Linked DNA regions of Arabidopsis thaliana. The protein of the gene in region 1 interacts with the protein of each later gene in a pairwise test. Each region holds a gene or a part of one and is shown in the gene's direction. Other genes may lie near its edges. The genes, in order: NPSN13, ALMT1, UMAMIT41 and DER1.

Evidence for each region.
Region 2: the proteins of NPSN13 (region 1) and ALMT1 interact in a protein complementation assay, tested with the Arabidopsis thaliana proteins (one large-scale study listed by BioGRID).
Region 3: the proteins of NPSN13 (region 1) and UMAMIT41 interact in a protein complementation assay, tested with the Arabidopsis thaliana proteins (one large-scale study listed by BioGRID).
Region 4: the proteins of NPSN13 (region 1) and DER1 interact in a protein complementation assay, tested with the Arabidopsis thaliana proteins (one large-scale study listed by BioGRID).

Annotation. Positions count from the first base shown.
Region 1 is NC_003074.8:5,969,015-5,974,231, reverse strand, and holds NPSN13 (Putative plant snare 13), read left to right. Parts: upstream 1-1,659; 5' UTR 1,660-1,941; coding exon 1,942-2,018; intron 2,019-2,233; coding exon 2,234-2,326; intron 2,327-2,557; coding exon 2,558-2,651; intron 2,652-2,966; coding exon 2,967-3,004; intron 3,005-3,163; coding exon 3,164-3,264; intron 3,265-3,594; coding exon 3,595-3,674; intron 3,675-3,756; coding exon 3,757-3,813; intron 3,814-3,888; coding exon 3,889-3,981; coding exon of another isoform or gene 3,982-3,985; intron 3,986-4,065; coding exon 4,066-4,140; intron 4,141-4,221; coding exon 4,222-4,323; 3' UTR 4,324-4,667; downstream 4,668-5,217. Other genes in the region: AT3G17450 (hAT dimerization domain-containing protein), read left to right, coding at 1-551, 641-724, 809-1,198, 1,284-1,439. UniProt on the Arabidopsis thaliana protein: Vesicle trafficking protein that functions in the secretory pathway.
Region 2 is NC_003070.9:2,656,881-2,661,819, forward strand, and holds ALMT1 (aluminum-activated malate transporter 1), read left to right. Parts: upstream 1-1,721; 5' UTR 1,722-1,919; coding exon 1,920-2,130; intron 2,131-2,252; coding exon 2,253-2,393; intron 2,394-2,526; coding exon 2,527-2,799; intron 2,800-2,893; coding exon 2,894-3,015; intron 3,016-3,102; coding exon 3,103-3,246; intron 3,247-3,558; coding exon 3,559-4,149; 3' UTR 4,150-4,430; downstream 4,431-4,939. UniProt on the Arabidopsis thaliana protein: Malate transporter critical for aluminum tolerance. The STOP1 transcription factor is required for ALMT1 expression.
Region 3 is NC_003074.8:10,440,847-10,445,946, forward strand, and holds UMAMIT41 (nodulin MtN21 /EamA-like transporter family protein), read left to right. Parts: upstream 1-1,761; 5' UTR 1,762-2,137; coding exon 2,138-2,328; intron 2,329-2,416; coding exon 2,417-2,482; intron 2,483-2,992; coding exon 2,993-3,106; intron 3,107-3,254; coding exon 3,255-3,483; intron 3,484-3,575; coding exon 3,576-3,737; intron 3,738-3,845; coding exon 3,846-3,997; intron 3,998-4,180; coding exon 4,181-4,370; 3' UTR 4,371-4,585; downstream 4,586-5,100.
Region 4 is NC_003075.7:14,442,819-14,447,799, forward strand, and holds DER1 (DERLIN-1), read left to right. Parts: upstream 1-1,734; 5' UTR 1,735-2,118; coding exon 2,119-2,135; intron 2,136-2,732; coding exon 2,733-2,868; intron 2,869-2,974; coding exon 2,975-3,048; intron 3,049-3,135; coding exon 3,136-3,229; intron 3,230-3,478; coding exon 3,479-3,607; intron 3,608-3,689; coding exon 3,690-3,850; coding exon of another isoform or gene 3,851-3,887; exon of another isoform or gene 3,888-3,944; coding exon 3,945-4,134; 3' UTR 4,135-4,419; downstream 4,420-4,981. Other genes in the region: PRF4 (profilin 4), read left to right, coding at 4,900-4,981. UniProt on the Arabidopsis thaliana protein: May be involved in the degradation process of specific misfolded endoplasmic reticulum (ER) luminal proteins.

The DNA of each region.
Region 1 (5,217 bases):
AGTGCTTAGAGAAAGCCCAAAGAATCACAAGATTCATTTACAATCAAACATGGCTGCTTAATCTTATGAAGAACGAATTCACACAGGGACTAGATCTTCTTAGACCAGCAGTCATGCGCCACGCTTCCGGGTTCACCACTCTTCAAAGTCTTATGGACCACAAGGCCAGTCTCAGAGGTCTGTTTCAATCTGACGGCTGGATTTTGTCACAGACCGCCGCCAAGTCTGAAGAGGGAAGAGAAGTGGAGAAGATGGTGTTGAGTGCTGTGTTTTGGAAGAAGGTTCAGTATGTTTTGAAATCGGTTGATCCGGTGATGCAGGTGATTCACATGATCAATGATGGTGGCGATAGACTATCTATGCCATATGCTTACGGTTACATGTGCTGTGCGAAAATGGCGATCAAGTCTATTCATAGCGATGATGCAAGGAAATACGGACCGTTTTGGCGGGTGATAGAATACCGTTGGAACCCATTGTTTCATCATCCTCTCTATGTGGCTGCATATTTCTTCAACCCGGCATACAAATATCGTCCTGATTTTATGGCGGTAGGTATGATTATCATTCATTTGAATCAATGACTAAAAGCTTTCTGCCATTTTCCTTACATTTGCTGTAAATGTGAATGAATCTGCAGCAGTCTGAGGTTGTGCGTGGAGTTAACGAATGCATTGTTAGGCTTGAGCCTGATAACACGCGTAGAATCACAGCATTGATGCAGGTGAGACAAAAAACAAATCACCAAGTCACACACATTGTTCTCAGAACCTGAGGTTAAACCAACTTTTTGTTGAAATGTTTTCAGATTCCGGATTATACTTGTGCGAAAGCTGATTTTGGAACGGATATAGCCATTGGCACAAGAACAGAGCTTGATCCATCGGCGTGGTGGCAACAGCATGGGATAAGCTGTTTGGAACTCCAGCGAGTGGCGGTTCGGATACTGAGCCACACTTGCTCGTCTGTTGGGTGTGAGCCTAAGTGGAGCGTGTACGACCAAGTTAACAGTCAATGCCAGAGCCAATTTGGGAAAAAATCAACGAAAGATCTAACATACGTTCATTACAACTTACGGCTCAGAGAAAAACAGCTGAAGCAACGGCTACATTATGAGGATGAACCACCACCAACTCTTAACCACGCTTTGCTGGATCGGTTGCTCCCTGACTGGCTCGTAACATCCGAGAAGGAGGAGGTACTTAACTTACTTAAAGTGAGAAACGCTAAACGCCATTCCAGTGATTTTATAAAAGGCTAATAAATGTAGTTTATTGGTGAAGGAGGAGGCTTTGCACGGGGAAGACAGAGCAGAGAAGGAAGACCATGAAGACGATGAGGAAGAGGAGGAGAAGTTTTACATGGAATCTGGTAACGTTGACGGTGAAGGTGAAGACAACCTTGATCCTTACGATGATGATCTTAGTGACGATGATTAGTTAGTGCTACAATTCTAACGAAGTAACACTGTATTTTGAATTCTAGCATTGTATCCTTAAAATATTCGAAAAATATGAAAATTTTGTTGGCTAGAAGAATATAATCAAAGTATTATTAGGTGAAATTAGTGAAAGTGAAATAATTTATCTAACAACGGATATGGATGGGACCAAAAAGTTGGCGCCTCGCTGTCATTTTTTTAACTACCGAATATCTGTCTTTTTAATTTATTTATTAATCAATTTTGTTTTTAAAAAATATATATGTTTGAATAAAAAAGAAAAAAACAACACACACCTGACAGCTCTCTTTCCCTTTTCCCGTTCTTTGTCGTCCTTTGTTTCGTCTTTCATTCATTCTCCTTTGTGTTTTCTCTTTTTGGAGATTTTAACTTCAGTTTTTGTCTAATTAGGGTTTTAATTTAAATTGGAGGGAAATTTTAGATGCAGTGACGTAGTTTTTGGGTAAATTTTCGTCGGATTCTGAATTGTCTCCGGCGACATGGCTTCTAATCTCCCCATGAGCCCTCAATTGGAGCAGATCCATGGCGAAATCCGTGACCATTTCCGAGCCCTCGCGTATGTTTTACATGTTATCCTCTTGTTCAATTTTCTAACTATCTCTGTCGTGGTTACGAAACACTGTGATATATATTTTAGGGTTTTGGAATTTTTTGATTATGTGTGCTCAATAGGATTTATGCGTGTTTTGCTTAATGCTGATGATAAGAATTAGATTTAGTCATCACTCAAAAGATTGTTCTTTTAATGATTCACCATTATCTGTTTTGCAGGAATGGTTTCCAGAGGTTGGATAAGATTAAGGATTCAACTAGACAAAGCAAACAACTTGAAGAACTTACTGACAAGATGAGAGAGTGTAAAAGGTATACTTATTTCATAATTGCTATGCTTTACCATTATGTTCTCGGCGTTACAACATTGTTTGCTAATTGCCTTTAGTAGAATGTGCTCTTTGATCACTGTTATGCGTACTTCTTTTTCTTTGAGCTGGATACGATGCCGTATAATGAGAATTGAGAAGGAAAGAGTATTGATGTGACAAATCCATGATTCAATAATCTGTATTTGCTTGTCTAATGTGTACTTCATGTCAGATTGGTCAAAGAGTTCGACCGTGAACTCAAGGATGAGGAAGCTAGAAATTCTCCTGAAGTAAATAAGCAATTGAACGATGAGAAACAATCTATGGTGAGTTTTTATCCTTTGTTTATTAAATTCATTGAGGCCTTTCTTTGATTATACTACAATGTCATATGTATCTGAAGTAAATATGTGAATATTAACTCTTACTTGGCACCTTCGTAAAGTTCCATTATACAGCATCAGTCGTATTCAGTTTGGTCAATCTTTAGGTGTGTTTATAACCGAATGGATATATTAAGGTGGATATTGAGTGTCATTGTGTATCTATCACTCCCCTCTGTACTTTGTATCTGCTAACATTTTGTTTGTATGAACTTTTTAACATCTGTGTTTAACTTTTTCTTTTGTATAATGTTACAGATCAAGGAGCTCAATTCTTACGTTGCTCTAAGAAAAACGTTAGTATTTCTATCATTCCTCTTTAAGAAAGCTGATTATTTGAATCTCAACCTGTTCTTTTAGGGTTTTGATTTCATATCGATCCGTTCAGAATATCTATATAGGATTTCATTTGACTTTTATGTGTTCATACATGTGAAATTGGTCTTGAATCTCAGGTATATGAGTACCCTTGGCAACAAGAAAGTTGAGCTTTTTGATATGGGAGCTGGAGTTAGTGGCGAACCTACAGCTGAGGAAAATGTTCAAGTGGCTTCATGTGAGTCCTTATGCATTCTTGTCTTCAGTTGCCACCAAAATATGAGTTTGCTTAGAACAATTAGAGATTGACATGCTTGAAGTTTAGACTTTTTAATGCTATATGTACTTGAATATGTTGGATTGGTAACTAATGCTCTCTGGTTATTCGTCTGGCATAATTTGTGATGTCTGTCAGTAAATTTCTGGCAGATGGTAATATGGCACTAGAAATGTTATCGGTGGCCTAGATAATAGAAATGAATGATTCTGATAATTTGATTAGGCGCGAAGTATATTATATTGGGAATGTAAAAACTGATGAAGGCTTTTGTCATTTTATTATGTATAGCTATGTCAAACCAGGAGCTTGTTGATGCTGGAATGAAAAGAATGGATGAGACTGATCAGGCCATTGAGCGCTCAAAACAGGTAAGTTACAGAAGGAATTATGTTCCCCTTAGCCTTTGTTACTATATGAATATATCTATGGTAACATTCTTGTTCCTTTCAGGTTGTAGAACAAACACTCGAAGTTGGAACTCAAACTGCAGCTAATTTAAAGGGACAGGTAATGCAAATTATTCTCCTTTACTTCCATATTAATCTTATGAGTAGAGTCTTAAACAACCTGAAAATTTTGCAGACGGATCAAATGGGACGCGTAGTTAACCACTTGGACACTATTCAATTCTCAATCAAGAAGGCCTCCCAGCTGGTGAAAGAGATAGGGAGACAGGTGTGTAACCTCATATGGACATATGTAGATTTATCCTTTTTGGCTTGACCTCAAAACCTGAATGCTTATGTCTACTTATTTCAGGTGGCTACCGATAAATGCATAATGGGGTTCCTGTTTCTCATTGTATGCGGTGTAGTAGCCATAATCATAGTGAAGGTACTGTCTTTTCTCTCTCTGTTGAAAGTTGTGATTGCTCATTAGCAAGTTGTAACTCTGGTTTTTGTATTAATTCTTCAGATCGTGAATCCGAATAACAAAGACATTAGGGACATCCCAGGATTAGCTCCTCCAGCGCAATCGAGGAAGCTATTGTACTTGAGGAATCAAGACTACATGTGAGAATATAAATCTCTATTTGTATATTTATTCACGAGGAATGAGGAAATTGCATCTTGAGGTTCGATATTTCCTTCTAATTTGTTAACAATCCATTTCATGGATGTTAGAGAGAGGGTTTGTGCTTGTTGGCATTGTGTGCTTTGATAGTTGACGAGGCTTGGGGATGTTTATCTTCATGTTCTTTTACTTGTTTTAACCCATTCGTTTGAATCTGGGTTTGATTGGAGGGTGTGTATATTTTCAGCTTTTGTCTCTATTTCTTTTTCCTTCTTCTTTTTTGTAGCAACTTATCACTTCTTTTGTATAAAATTCAGACCAATGTTATACTCTCTCACGTTTTCATTAGATTCCTTTCTTCGTCCTACTGTAGAAAGTTTCATGACACAGCTGGAATTTCATTAGAAGAGTCCAAATGGTTATCACTTTCTGTAACTTGCTAATACGAAGAACGTGATGAAGAGTACTACTACATTTCTGACGTTAAGTATTTATGAAACTACTGACTGTATTCTCCTTTAATTCGTTTTGTTTCACCTTTCTATTACTGGAGAATCAATTACTACTCTTCCAATCAGAATTTACCTTGAAGACATTAATATTTTGTACCAATCAATCGAGTTCAAATATAAGAGATGCTGCTCAGAAGCCGGAACATAATTGAATCCAGGGTCGGCTGATGATGGAAAAAATTAAGACCACAAATATATAAATTTAACGTCAATTCACTACAAACGAATTTGAGACTTTTTAGTTTTCCAGCTAATCATTGGTAATAATCTCCGCTATTCTATCTCATAACAAATTTGGAATTTTTCACCTGACACACGAGGACACGGGTCTAGATGGTGCTGCAACTTCTTTGTTTGGTTTCAAAGATTTTTTTCTTCTAAGTAA
Region 2 (4,939 bases), on another chromosome or scaffold:
TTTTCGTTTGTGGTATAGTTTTTTGGCGAGTGGGTATGAATTCTTAGAATGGTAATGGTTGATTAGGTGGAGGATGGTCTGATGTCGTGGGGGGGGGGGGCTTTTGTGTATTTTAATTTTATTGTCAGTTCATACTTTGTAACATTTGTGTTGATTATATGATACGAAAAATTTTCCTGGCTCCTTTTGGTTGTCTAAGCTAGACCAAAAAAGAAGAGAAAAGAAAGAACTTATGCCCTTGAAAGCGACTTTGAGTTGGTTCATGGATCCTCGGGTGATGGACTCAGTCACTCGATTTGCTTGAGATTCATAAATTTATACATGTGCTTTGTGGCCTTCAAATGAAACACTGGTGATGTCGATATGATGTGATTTGGCATCGATGCTGTCATTGGCTCCAAAAAATCATGTTTTAGCGGTGAGAACAAAAAAAACAAAATTTTTGGAGGATCAGATGGTTGAAGTTAAAACTCGAGGGTATTAGATGGTTAAATTTTAATATTGTTTTGGATATAGGATGGTGATTAAAAAAAAAAAGTTTTGATTAGTGTTGGTGCAGGAATTAGCATCTCCGATAATACCAATTTAAACCAAGGAATAACGTGAATAAAATCGAGAATTCGATTGAACCGGGGTATCCCGGCTAGTCTGTTAATGGGCCTAAGTCATGAGCTCGCCAGAAGATTTAGGTCGACAGTCAAGATCGCCATAGGCGGCTTCTCAGGTCGTGTAAAGGGAAAACTTCCATTTAAGAGAAGAGGATCTCATGAAGAATAGAAGTAATGAAGATTTAGACCTAAGATAATTAGAAGTTTATCATATTTTGGTATGTTGGACCCATTGTATAAATAGGGGGGGGGGGTCAAGCCCTCTAAGAGGATCATGACCAACCTAAGACAAGAGACTACTATTACAGAGCAAACTCTAGCTTTTTATTCAAGCAACTTTGTTCTTCTCCTTTGATTATTCGTGAGCTAAGAGAGAAGTGAATTTGTCTAAATCCCTTAGTACAAATTAATTGTTTGATTAGAGAATCAACAATTAGTTTTGAACCTGATGATGTATTGGTCAAACTTGTAATCATCGCATCTGAGTTTGAGGTCATTTTTTCCAACTGTTGTTATACATATAAAATATCCAAAGAATAAAAGCCTTGTACGATCGGGGTATTGGGGTCCGTACCAACTTGTTGACATTTTTTATGTTTTTGGTGTGTGGCAGACTAGATTGAAACAATAATGACTAAGCAACTCAGTAAGAGTCCTTTTTTTGGACTCAGTAAAAGAGTCCAAGTTTTCTTTGAACAACAAAATTTTGTTGAGGTGTGTATGCACTTGGTTGGGAACAAACAAGTAGATGGCAAAGATCATTCGAACATTGGAGCCCAAGTGTTGAGGGCACTAATCTTGTCGATTACAGAAACGAAATTATTTGGGGAAGCTGCAAGAAAAAGTTTAGTTAAATCTTTTATATTCCTTAATCAAAATGTATCATGCATACACTATATACAATTCACTAAAGTATGATAGTTAAATACCTAATTAATATCATGATCAACTCCTACCGGTTCATCTAACTAATCCAGCTCAGCATAAAAACCCTCACGCGTCGCTCCAATTAAGGGGAGGGCTTAACTAGTGCCCAACTTACTGGGCTAGGTTCGACTCCGTTTTTTTATTACATTTTCCTTTTCCATTTCTTTAAGACTTTAACCCTGAAATCTCGAAGTGCAACGCACCACTAATTTTTTATAAATATTAACATAACATTTCATGAGTCCTAAACAAGAGTCTCTCTTGGTCTTTATAAATACATCGATCCATGTACATAAAAACAACAAGTCATCTTTTCTTTCTATCTGAAAGTAATCAGAGAATCAGAAAACACTTGAGAGAGCTGAGTGACCATCAAAAGGTGTTATGGAGAAAGTGAGAGAGATAGTGAGAGAAGGGATTAGAGTAGGGAATGAAGACCCGAGAAGAATTATTCATGCTTTCAAAGTGGGACTTGCTCTTGTTTTGGTCTCTTCCTTCTATTATTACCAACCTTTCGGTCCTTTCACCGATTACTTCGGTATCAATGCAATGTGGGCTGTCATGACCGTCGTTGTTGTCTTTGAATTCTCCGTAGGTTCGTCATCTAGTTTCTATCATTTGAATATGTCTAGTAGATATATCTAGGGAGAATGCAAGAATTTTTGTTGTAAACTTTTGGCCATAATATTAAATAACTTTGGTTTGATGTGTACTTAGGGGCTACACTTGGGAAAGGACTAAATAGAGGAGTGGCAACATTAGTAGCAGGAGGACTAGGAATTGGAGCTCATCAACTAGCAAGATTGTCGGGTGCAACAGTGGAACCTATTCTTTTGGTCATGTTGGTCTTTGTGCAAGGTAAACCCTTATAACACTCTTTACATTTTCAGATTACCATGCGTTTCCAAGCGTTTGGTCAATCATTGTTTGGCTAAAGACTAGATCAAAGAAGATTGGGCAATGAGTAATTAGTATTGTGATATATGTGCAGCTGCGTTGTCGACGTTCGTAAGGTTTTTCCCATGGGTAAAGACAAAGTTCGATTATGGGATATTGATATTCATATTGACGTTCGCGCTGATATCGTTGTCGGGGTTTAGAGACGAAGAGATAATGGATTTGGCAGAAAGCAGACTATCGACAGTGGTGATTGGAGGAGTCAGTTGCATCCTTATCTCTATCTTTGTCTGTCCTGTTTGGGCTGGACAAGATCTACATTCTCTCCTTGCCTCTAACTTTGACACTCTCTCCCACTTCCTTCAAGGTTTTTTATTTCTTTCTCTTTTTCTTTTCCTCATTATGTCTCTACAAGAACATAAATATATACATATACGAGATAGTGAATGTGAAATTGGCAGATTTTGGGGACGAATATTTTGAAGCGAGAGAGAAGGGGGACTACAAAGTAGTGGAGAAGAGGAAAAAGAATCTTGAGAGATATAAAAGTGTTCTTGACTCCAAAAGCGATGAAGAAGCTTTGGTGGGCTACTCTCTCTCTTTCTTTCCCTACTTGCTTCACAATTATGAAATCATTTGGATTGATTTTGTTTTGATATTTTGCGTTTAGGCTAATTACGCAGAATGGGAACCGCCTCATGGACAATTTAGGTTTAGGCATCCATGGAAACAATATGTTGCCGTTGGTGCATTACTCCGGCAGTGTGCCTACAGGATTGATGCCTTGAATTCATACATCAACTCAGATTTTCAGGTAATCGCTAACTTTTTGTTAGGTGTTTGCATATTTAATTAAAACAAAATTTGAAAATACATAAAAGAAGAAAAACTAATATGCTATTATGCTATAACTATTTTTGATCTAATACAATATATATATCTATATATATATATATATATATATTTACATGTCGCAAATGCAAACACAAAAATAACATCAGGTTGAAATTCTTAGTCTGTTAATTTGTTTATATAGTTTTTTTTTTTAGTGTAAACATGTATAGTAGTATATGTTTCTGGTTAACGTGTTTCTAACCCTTTGTTTATTTCTTATTTTTTCTATTAGATCCCAGTGGACATAAAAAAGAAATTAGAAACACCATTAAGAAGAATGAGCTCGGAATCGGGAAACTCAATGAAAGAAATGTCCATTTCACTAAAACAAATGATAAAATCATCTTCTTCTGATATCCATGTCTCAAACTCACAAGCTGCATGCAAATCTCTTTCTACTTTACTTAAATCAGGCATCTTGAACGATGTTGAGCCTCTTCAAATGATCTCATTGATGACGACTGTCTCCATGCTCATAGATATTGTTAACTTAACCGAAAAGATCTCGGAATCTGTACACGAGCTTGCATCCGCTGCAAGATTTAAGAACAAGATGAGGCCGACCGTGCTATACGAGAAGTCGGATTCCGGAAGCATTGGTCGTGCCATGCCAATAGATTCTCATGAAGATCATCATGTTGTCACAGTTTTACATGACGTTGATAATGATAGATCAAACAATGTTGATGATTCACGTGGAGGGAGTTCACAGGACTCATGTCATCATGTTGCCATAAAGATTGTTGATGATAACTCAAACCATGAAAAACATGAAGATGGTGAAATACATGTACATACATTAAGTAATGGGCATCTTCAGTAAGTAATTCAACTCATTATTTGAGGAGCAGTCTTTTGTACCCGCAAGATTATAGAGACGAGACCATCGGTATATAACATATTCGGGTATTTCATTCAGATTTGAAGTTTGTTACAAATACTATTGTCGCCTTTGATCATTTTTGAACTATTGGTCACACATTTAATAAAGTCTTGGTCTTCGTTTTCCTTTGCGTTACTCTTTTAAAGATTTTTATATCCAACTGATCAAAAAATTTAAAAATAGCATGGTTTTATTTTTGGATTATGGTGTTTTAGAGAGCTAACCTCAGTAAATAAAAGAACATAGACCGGCGCCAGATAAAGACAAGTCCGGCAAAAACTCTAGATTGTTATTTTCTATGAATATAATTAATTTTATTCCAAACATATATCGTATGAAAAAAAAAATCATTTATCATTGGAGGAGGCGGTGATCAGGCGCAGTGAGAGGAGGAGTCGGTTAACAAAAGTGGTCTTGGCCAGTGCCAAAGCGTCATTGTAATCGCTTTCAATTCTCAAAACCAATACGGTAATATGCACAACTAATAGAATGTTTCAGGTGACAAATTTTCTCACTAAAGTCAAACTTTCATACTTGCCGATGAAGTAACAAACATACAGTACGTTCAATACATTAAGGATATATATAAGAAACAAAAGCTGGAAATTGTGTGAATTTAGCTAGGTTAGATTATAGTATAATAAAGTTGCCTTGTACGATTGGGGTAATGGCTAATGGATTCCGTACGTTGATGCCAACTTGGTATTGGCAAGGCTGAGTGTGACTCGGT
Region 3 (5,100 bases), 4.5 Mb from region 1:
ATCCTTAATCAAAACAAACAATTCATTTTAAAACGTATATAGTACAATGTATACGTAAATAGTATATTCACAAAATAGAATAGTATCTCTCAAAAATCTTCCAAAATCAAAATCGATTTATTGGCTATTTCCCTTTAGAATTTCCAACATCGTAAACCCTTTATCGCTTCTAGATCTAAGAAATCCATAACATGATCGTCAATTTGTTGTTCATAATTCTCAATTTTATTTTCCATGGATTTACAAATTAAAATTCTCATATGAACTTTGATGGGAAAGTGAAGATTAATTTGACATAATTGGCGAAAGGATTTCACCGGATTTTTCTAGTATTCTCTGGCTGACGAAGAATAAATATAGTCAGAGTATTATTGCGCTAATGGTGTTGTTATAAAATAGAGTAAATCAGATTTGAGTGATCCTATCGACATTTAAGATTGATCCATATATAATTTTGACTTTTGTTTAGTTGATGGTGATGTATGTAAAGATTCGTAAGAAAAGGGCGAGATAGATGAAAGGAGCACACTTCATAAAAGAGAAGAAGATTTATTCACAAGGATGTCTTTTGAAGAAGAAAGAAGAAGGAGAGCGAGATGTACAAACACAGTAAGAAAAGGGAGAGAGAGATGAAAGGAGCACACTTCATAAAAGAGAAGAAGATTTATTCAATAGGATGTCTTTTGAAAAAGAAAGAAGAAGGAGAGCGTGATGTACAAACACATGATAGTATTGTCAATATTATATATATTATACATAATATTTTTTTCTATTGTTTGAAGTGTTAGTTTACCAATTAAAGTATTTTTGTTGGTTATATTTGCCAATTCCCCAAGTATTTATACCATTTTCGAAGTTTCGACATAAGTTAAAAAGGATATAAGAACCGGAAAAATAACGAAAATCTACAGAAAGAACAGACAATGACAAAACAACAAAGGAGGAAAACATATGTATAGAGCGAAAACAAAAGAAGAAACACCGATTCCAAAATGCCAAACTCGGAAATTTGCGTGATTTCCTCCACAACTCCAAGAAGCTGGAGTCTCATCCTAAGTTGTATACCTAATTTGTTTACAGAAGTTATCTATGGTGCTAAAAAAAATGGTTTTAACACTTGAAAAAAAAGCTTTTACTAAAGTTATATATATATGGTTTAGTGGTTTTCTTTAGTGTATGAGTCGATATGAGAGGACAGTAAAAGATAAATCATTTTTTATATAAAAAAGCTGTTGAATATTATTTGTTATTTGTGATAAACAATTTGAATAGTAAAACATGTTACATAATTTCTTTAGCTAGTGCTTATAGAAAATTGATTTTAAAACAAAATAAAGATAAAAGTTAGTTTCTATTCAAAAAATTGAAAATGATTGCCACATCATTTAAAACTAAAAGTTAAAAATTAAAGGTAAAATTGGTTTTTTTTTTTTGAAATCGCTTTAATTGTAAGGGTAAAAGTGGATATTTGTTTTTACTGAAATCATGAGTATGAAAATAACAGCAATTTTTTTTGGATAATAAACGCACATTTTAATTATTATGTGTATTTTTTCCAACCAAAAATAATTGAGTATTCAACGTCTAGATAAAAAAGAGACTGAGATTTTTTTCGACTTTTTCTCCAAAAAAAACGAAGTTCCAAAAATAATGATGAAATTAGTAGTGGTAAATGGTCAATTTAAATCCGTTGCTACAAATCAAAATTTAAATCTGTAAATTAACTAAATCTATTAAATTATTAATGAAAACCAATGTAAAAAGAATCTCAACTTCTCAAGCATACTTTGTTTCAAATATTCTACTATTCAAAATACTCCCTTAAATCATAACCTGAAACTCACATAAGCTGATCCAAAATTGAATTTCATTCCACAATTTTTCTCTTAAACTTCATATAAACATGTCAGCATGTTACACGGCCTTTTTTGTCTGCTTCATATATCTCTCAAGTGTGTGTACTACACAATAACATTTCCTGAAAATCTAACTTTCACCCACTCACCATCTTTTCTTCTCTCTTTCCCCATCAAAAAAAACAAAAACAAAACACAACTCTGTTTCTCTCATCTTAAAATTCATGTAAAAAAAATCTACAAATCAAAGAGAGAAACAGAGTAAAGAGAAAGAGAAGAAGATGGCGCGGAAATACTTTCAGAGAGAAGTTTTGCCGGTAACGGCTTTGGTAATAATGGAATGTGCAAACGTTGGTTTAAACACTCTGTTTAAAGCAGCAACTTTGAAAGGCATGAGCTTTCATGTCTTCATCGTTTACTCTTATGGTCTCGCTGCTCTGCTTCTTCTTCCTTCTCTGTTTTGCTCTTTCAGGTCTCTCTCTCTTCTTGATTCGATCTCGATACTAAATTTTTCATCTAATCTTGAAAATTGGCTAATCGGTTCTTGTTTAATTTCACAGATCAAGAACTCTTCCACCGATGAATTTCTCTATTCTCTACAAAATCGTGCTCTTAGGGATTATTGGGTAAAAGTCTCATCTCTTGAAATTTTCTACCAAATAAAAAATTCTCAGTTCTTGAAATTTTTCTTTAATTTCAAGCAATACCTGAGTGTTGCTGAAATAGGTTAATTTGATCTTTAATTACCTGATTAGATCAAATTTTTTGCATGAGTGTTACTGAAATTCTCAGTTTTTGTTTACCAAAATTTAGAGAATAAAAAGTATAGAAAGAGACATTTGGCTTAAAGTTGGTTCCAAAAGCTGCAACTTTACTGCAAAAATCTAAAAACATTATTATTATTATAAACAAAAATAAATTCAATTTTTGGGGGTTTATTTATATGATTTAATCTTAGTAAAAAAATGGAATATATTATTTGGTTTTGGTTATAAAATTTTTGATTAATAAAAGTGTGTGTTGACAATGTATATAGATGCTGTTCATGATTTATTCTTAGTAAAAAGTGGAATATATTATTTTGTTTTGGTTATAATTATTTGATTAATAAAAATGTGTGTTGATAATGTATATAGATGCTGTTCAAACATAATGGGATACACAGGGATAAATTATAGTTCTCCAACACTTGCTTCTGCAATCAGCAACCTCACTCCTGCTTTCACCTTCTTGCTTGCAGTCGTTTTCAGGTTTGACAACAACATTTCTATATCCTATTTGACATATTCCTTTTACATTATCAATTTACAAAATTACCCTCCGTCCATTAACTGTATATGGGCCTTATTGTTTAGCCCATGAGGTTATGATTTGAAAACGTTTGGTGTAATGTTGTAGGATGGAGAGTGTGTCTTTTAAGAGAACAAGTAGTGTGGCTAAAATGTTAGGAACCGTTGTTTCTATTGGAGGTGCATTTATAGTGACTCTTTATAATGGTCCTGTTGTGATTGCTAAATCGCCACCGTCTGTTTCTTTGCGATCGCAATCGACTAACCCTAATTGGATACTTGGTGCGGGTTTCCTTGCGGTCGAGTATTTCTGTGTTCCATTGTGGTACATTGTTCAGGTCTGAACTCTATATGCATATATAACATATATGTCACTATGTGAGTTTTTTGGTTTTCTGATAGAATCATATGTTCTCAATATTTTTTGTAGACTCAAATCATGAGAGAGTATCCGGCCGAGTTTACCGTTGTTTGCTTTTATAGCATAGGCGTTAGCTTTTGGACCGCGCTAGTCACATTGTTCACTGAAGGGAATGACTTGGGTGCATGGAAGATAAAACCGAATATAGCTTTAGTGTCGATCGTTTGCTCGGTGAGAATATAATTACACTCATGTGTTTTTCCCTAGAGATTATGAGTGTGATTAGTTTTTTGACAAGCAAAATGGTTTTATTTTGGTTGATTCTATTTCTATGTTTAGGGATTGTTTGGATCTTGCATAAACAATACTATCCACACGTGGGCATTGCGGATCAAGGGGCCTTTATTTGTTGCAATGTTCAAGCCATTGTCTATTGCAATTGCTGTTGCAATGGGAGTTATCTTCCTGCGAGATTCTCTCTACATCGGCAGGTACAAAAACAACTCACACTTTTATTTAAATAGTAACGGGTGAGTCCAAGATTAGTTTGGGACTTGCGGTTATGTTAGAACCATACCTCAAAAAACTGTGGAAAATATTAACTAGTCATTCTCTAATTCTCAGCTCACTTTAACTCTTTTGGTTTCCTTTCTTTGCTTGAATGATGATCCCAGCTTGATCGGGGCAACGGTAATAACAATCGGGTTTTACACGGTAATGTGGGGAAAAGCCAAGGAAGTGGCCTTGGTCGAAGATGATAACAAGGCTAACCACGAGGAGGCCAATGAAGCTGACCTTGATTCTCCATCGGGTTCACAGAAGGCTCCTCTCTTGGAAAGTTACAAGAACGATGAACATGTATGAGTATCATCAACTAGTGAAGATCACGCTATATATATATGTGTGAAAAAATTCATATGTGAATTGTCTTTGTAATTTATTTGATGAGACAAATGTGATCTTTAATTTTAGGATCCAAGTGTTTTCTAATCACAATCTAACAAGTCCTTTTTATATCCTTTTTTTCTTAGTCTTTCACATGATTTACACTAGAATGATTCCAATATCCTTAAGAATAAGACTAATTCTTCACTTAAGATTTAAGAACATCTTTTAGTGATAACTGATAACTACAGGTTTTGGCGACCAATTTTCATTTGTTTTATAGTCCTTGATAGTGGTGACGATATGTCCTGGATTTAAGACTTACTATGAACTGGAAAATTAATTGCTCATCAAGAAAAGATATTTAACCTAAAAATCTCAAAAATTATCCTAAAAATCTTTGTCCTCATAACTATAATTAAGTTACTAATTAACTAATGGTTAGACATTTTTTTTTTTTAACTATATAGTAATAGTGTAATAATAATTGTTGAAAGTGGTTTTTACTTTTACTGCGGTGGGATGCAAAAGTAAGTTGAAGTTGAGATTCTAAAGCTCCTAAATTGGTCAAACCGTCAAACCAGAGTTTCAGATTCAGACAATCAAAAACAAAACAAAAAAAATGGCTGGGAGATTCTGTCAAAGAGACGGCGGGATCATGACGGCAATGGTGGCGGTGGAGATTCTGACAGAGTGTAGCCAAAGTAGT
Region 4 (4,981 bases), on another chromosome or scaffold:
ATTAAATTTGTCATTTCTATCACAAAACAATGGGAGAAAAAAACGAAAAACTAGTTTCCCGACATTAAACATGCGAATTACTGAAACATGGATAGGTCCACCATTTTTGCCATTTGACAAGCTCGGTCTCTTGTTTTCCTTGTTCATAAATGATTTTAGTTTGTTTGCTTTTTTAAACGCATCTTTCTATCACTTTTTTCTTTTGGTTGCAAATATGTCGTTTTCTCTCCTCCCTCCTTTTCCGGGATTTAACTTATCACAATGTAATGAAATTTGCATGTTCCTCTCTCGCCATTGGCAAGTTCCATTGCGATGTCTCTATCGATAGGTCAAACAATCCAAAAGAACCAAAACCTTTTTTCTTTTCTTTTCCACTCACATTTAATCTAGGGACCCTTTAATCTTATTCATTTTCTCAACGATAATGTAAAAAAGTATAGTTAGTAAACTGTTAACTGTGTAGATTATACATGTTTTTTAATCAATCATATAATTAGAAGGGGTATTTAGCCGTCCAAAAGCTGTTTTCGCGTGACTATGCATGAAACCCACTTACGTAGCCTCCAACGTAACGACCAATAAAAAGCTCTAACTTAGGAACATTACAACGAACTAATATTTAATAAGTTATATAAGGTCATGAAATGAAATCTTATAACGTATCTAACAACTCACATGATCTATACCATGTCACATTTTTTATCAAACATATGTTAACCACCTAAGCACTAACACTACTCTTTGATCAAACTTATATTTCGCATATACTCCAAAAGAAACCAAGTGGCATATTGGCATATCTCGTAATGTGGTGCCAAAAATGCTTATCAACTTAATTATAGTTCAGATATTGTCTCCGTATCGTATCTTAATATTTGTATTCAACAATAGGTATTATGTTGTATTAGCTAGGTGTGATTTGTAACGAGAAGAGATATCTCGTTCTATTGTGAGGTAAAAATAAAATAAAGCAGTACAAGAACATAACGGTATAAACGGTTTTTACTGTTAAAAAACTTGTAATTGTTTATGTACCAACCCTATTGATTGTGTTTAAGAAATTATTTTTAAATCTTGAGATTCTTATTCAAATATAAACATTGAAGATCGATATTGCTCAATATCACAATAATCTTTCTAAGTTATGAAAAGAACGTCTACTACTATTTGTTTAAAACTACATAGGACAACATCAAATCAGTTTTGAAATTCATTGTAAAATTCTTTTAATACTAAAATTGTTTACAGTTAATGAGAAATTACAATATTATTTTTAGCAGATTATAATTAGAAAATACATTATTATTATTGATCAATTTACCTTGCAGTTCCACGCAAAACCAACAAAATAACAAATAACAAAGCATTGTGTGGAATGACGTAAGGATGAGTCAGCAGACAAGGAGTGAGATCGAATCGGGTCAAGATTATCTGGTTGGGACCCGTCACATGCACATGGACCCTCTCCCGTACCTAATCCAGGTTAAATAATCTTGATTTTCTGTTTAATTACCTTAAAAACACATTATTATTGAAACTAATAATAAATCTCGGATCTTTGGTTCCGACCATACTTGCGAAAGATCATTGCTTTAATGCTAATGTTTCTCTAATTTTGATATTCCTTGAGATTAGATTCCCTTTGCATTGTCTTTTCTTGTTAATTTGTTAGGGTTCATATTCTTACATTATTTTTTTTGGCAAAGAAAAAAACATTTATAAACATATCTAATTCGAGCCTGATCTATTAATGGGTCAAATAAAAGCCTCTTTGGCCCAATTCAATAAACTGGCCAACTGGGGATCATCATAGAGACAGACTACTAGAGAGTAGAGACGCATCAGAAAGAAGAGAAATTGATCCCACAAGTTTAAACACGATTACAAATTAAAACGTGCCACGTATTCAAGACGGTGAATTAACACGACGTGGCAAGGTATGATTGGATAACTTACGCAGCTGCCTAACAAAAACAAGTGATTTGAGTTTTCAGATGATTAGAAGGAAAAAAAATTCTGGAACTTTCGAGCTTCTGTTTTGCGGTGCTCTCAAAGCTTATATCGGATCTCGAATCTTGAATCGGACTCAGAACCTCGGATCTTCGAAAATCGACGAACATGTCTTCTCCTGGCGAGTGAGTTCCGTTCCCCTCTATTGAAACTTTGCTTCGATTCGATTTTGATCGAGAGATTCTTAGCTTGGTCTTCGTACCCAGGATTTTGAGTCCTTAGGTTAATAATTTTCATGATTCGTTTAGCTTGTATAGGGGTTTTTGAAGCATTCAACTGTTGATTCTTCTCAATTCGAGCGTAATTTTGCAACACCAAGCGAGTTCTGTGAACTTGAGCTAACGCTATTTTTAGTATATAGTTATCAATTTGCATTGTCATCATTTGATATTTTGGTGATTTGAGATGTAAAGAAACATCTTTTATGCCATGGAAGTTAGTACAAGTCAACTGGTAGTTAGTTCTTGAAATATGGAATCTCATAGTGTCTTGAAGCAAAACTGTTCTCGTTTGCTGTATCATAGTTACAAGGCTACTTTGATTCTCCTAGCTACGATAGTCTAAAATATCTCTGCGTAGGCTTGTCTCTTGTGGTAAAGTTTTATGCTTTAGCTGATCTTGATGACATTTCCTGATTAGAAATTTATAGATGGATGGAATATGTATGATTTTGATTGTTTATCTGTCAAATTGTTTCTTAGATCGCTTGTTATTGATTGCAGATTCTATAACTCACTTCCACCTATAACCAAGGCTTATGGTACGTTGTGCTTTTTCACTACAGTAGCCACGCAGCTTGGCTTAGTTGCTCCCGTTCACATTGCTTTAATTCCTGAACTTGTACTTAAGCAGTTCCAGGTATATGATTTATTCTTTTTTATGATTTTCCTTTCTTTCTCACAAATCTCTGTCATCCTAAGTTCCTAATTCATTCTGCAATTTTTGATCTATTTGGTGTTTGTAGATCTGGAGGCTGATAACAAACTTGTTTTTCCTCGGTGGTTTCTCTATCAATTTTGGAATACGTCTTTTGATGATGTGAGCATACTATTTTCACATATATAGATGAACAAAGCTAATTTCGATTTTTATTATCTTAACATACTCTTTTAAATGATTGTGCAGAGCAAGATATGGAGTTCAACTCGAGAAAGGGCCATTTGAAAGGCGGACAGCAGACTTTTTGTGGATGATGATCTTTGGATCCTTCACTCTATTGGTATGTAAAGCCTCCCCTGTATTCTATTCTTACTGATCATTGTTATTGGTTCTTTGAGAACCCCAGTACTAGTATGTGGTATGCCACAAAGTAGATAATCGCTGGTACATAATATCCCAAAGCTGAGAAGATCAGAAGCTCTCAAAGAATTGAATCAGGGTTGCATTTTATTAAAGCGAGACAAAATTTTGGAAGGTATTCATACTAGTAAATCCGTGTGTTAAAACAGTTACCTTGTTCAAATTTCAGGTATTATCAGTCATACCATTTTTCTGGACACCGTTTCTTGGTGTTTCACTTGTGTTCATGCTTCTTTATCTCTGGAGCCGAGAATTTCCAAATGCCAACATCAGCCTATACGGTCTTGTCACTCTTAAGGTATTGAAAGTGTTTCTTTTGTAATCAAATCCACTCCTTGGTATATATAATGTTAATGGTGAAAGTTGGAATTACTCCACAGGCTTTCTACCTCCCATGGGCAATGCTAGCACTTGATGTTATCTTCGGTTCTCCGATCATGCCAGATCTTCTTGGCATCATAGCTGGACATCTATACTACTTCCTAACAGTCCTTCATCCTCTTGCTACCGGAAAAAACTACCTGAAAACCCCAAAATGGGTGTATCCTTTATTCAAATTCTCGATTATTTCCAGATGATTGTTTCTCTCGCTTCTCAGTTTTTGTTTTGCTGTTGTACCTTGACATTCTCAACAGTAATAAAATCGTAGCAAGATGGCGAATTGGAGCTCCAGTTGCAAGTGTTCGACAAGCAGGTGGTGTAGGAGCAGCAGGACCCGGAGCTGGAGGAGGAGTAGGAGGAGGAGGAGCTTATTCAAGCGCTCGTGCCCCACCCGAGAGTTCAAACACAGCATTCAGAGGTCGATCATATCGTCTCACCGACTGAAATAGAAATCTTCTCGAGTTTCTTTGTTTTCATCATATCAAATCTTTTTCAAACAATGCCACTAACTAATCCCAGGTAGCTTTGTGTTTTCGAACAGTACAGTTTTTGAATATATGACTCTGTAGGAAGAATCTTTGAGGTTTTAATACAATGTTCTTTTCAAAATGTGGTTCATGTTTCTATGTTTTTGTTTTTGTCTAGCAATCATCTCCTTACTAAATTGAATTCGATAAACTATAGCCACTATGAATATAATCAAATGAAATTTGTGACATAAGAATTTGGACGTAACGAGTTTGAATATCTATCTAGATAAGTTATTAAATTCGTGACCAAAGAGTTTGGTCGTAACAAGTTTGAATTTTTTAGGACATAATATTATTATTGGCTAACAAGATTACGACTAACGAGTAAATAATCATTCCTTCGGTCCTTCCTCTAAAATGCCGTTGGTGATCGTTTATAAATAGGGGAAATAGGAAAAGGGAAGAAAGTAGACGTGGCAAATAGCGAAACAATGATTGAGCTATAACAAAGGCGAAACTTGAGCGGCACTAATTGAAAATCACTCCTTGTTTTTTTGAAGAAAAAGTAAGATGTAGGGCTGAGAATTCGTCTATGTGATCCAACGGTTTTAAAATGATCCTTGTTCCTTCCTCTCCTATTTATCTGAAGGACGAAGTCCCCACGCTGCACATAACCGGGGCACTTAACGTATAGATCATAAACAAAGAAGAAGAAAAAAAATAAGAAAAGAAGAAGAAGATGTCGTGGCAAACTTACGTTGATGAGCATTTGATGTGTGATGTTGGCGATGGTCAAGGACACCACCTTACTGCTGCCGCTA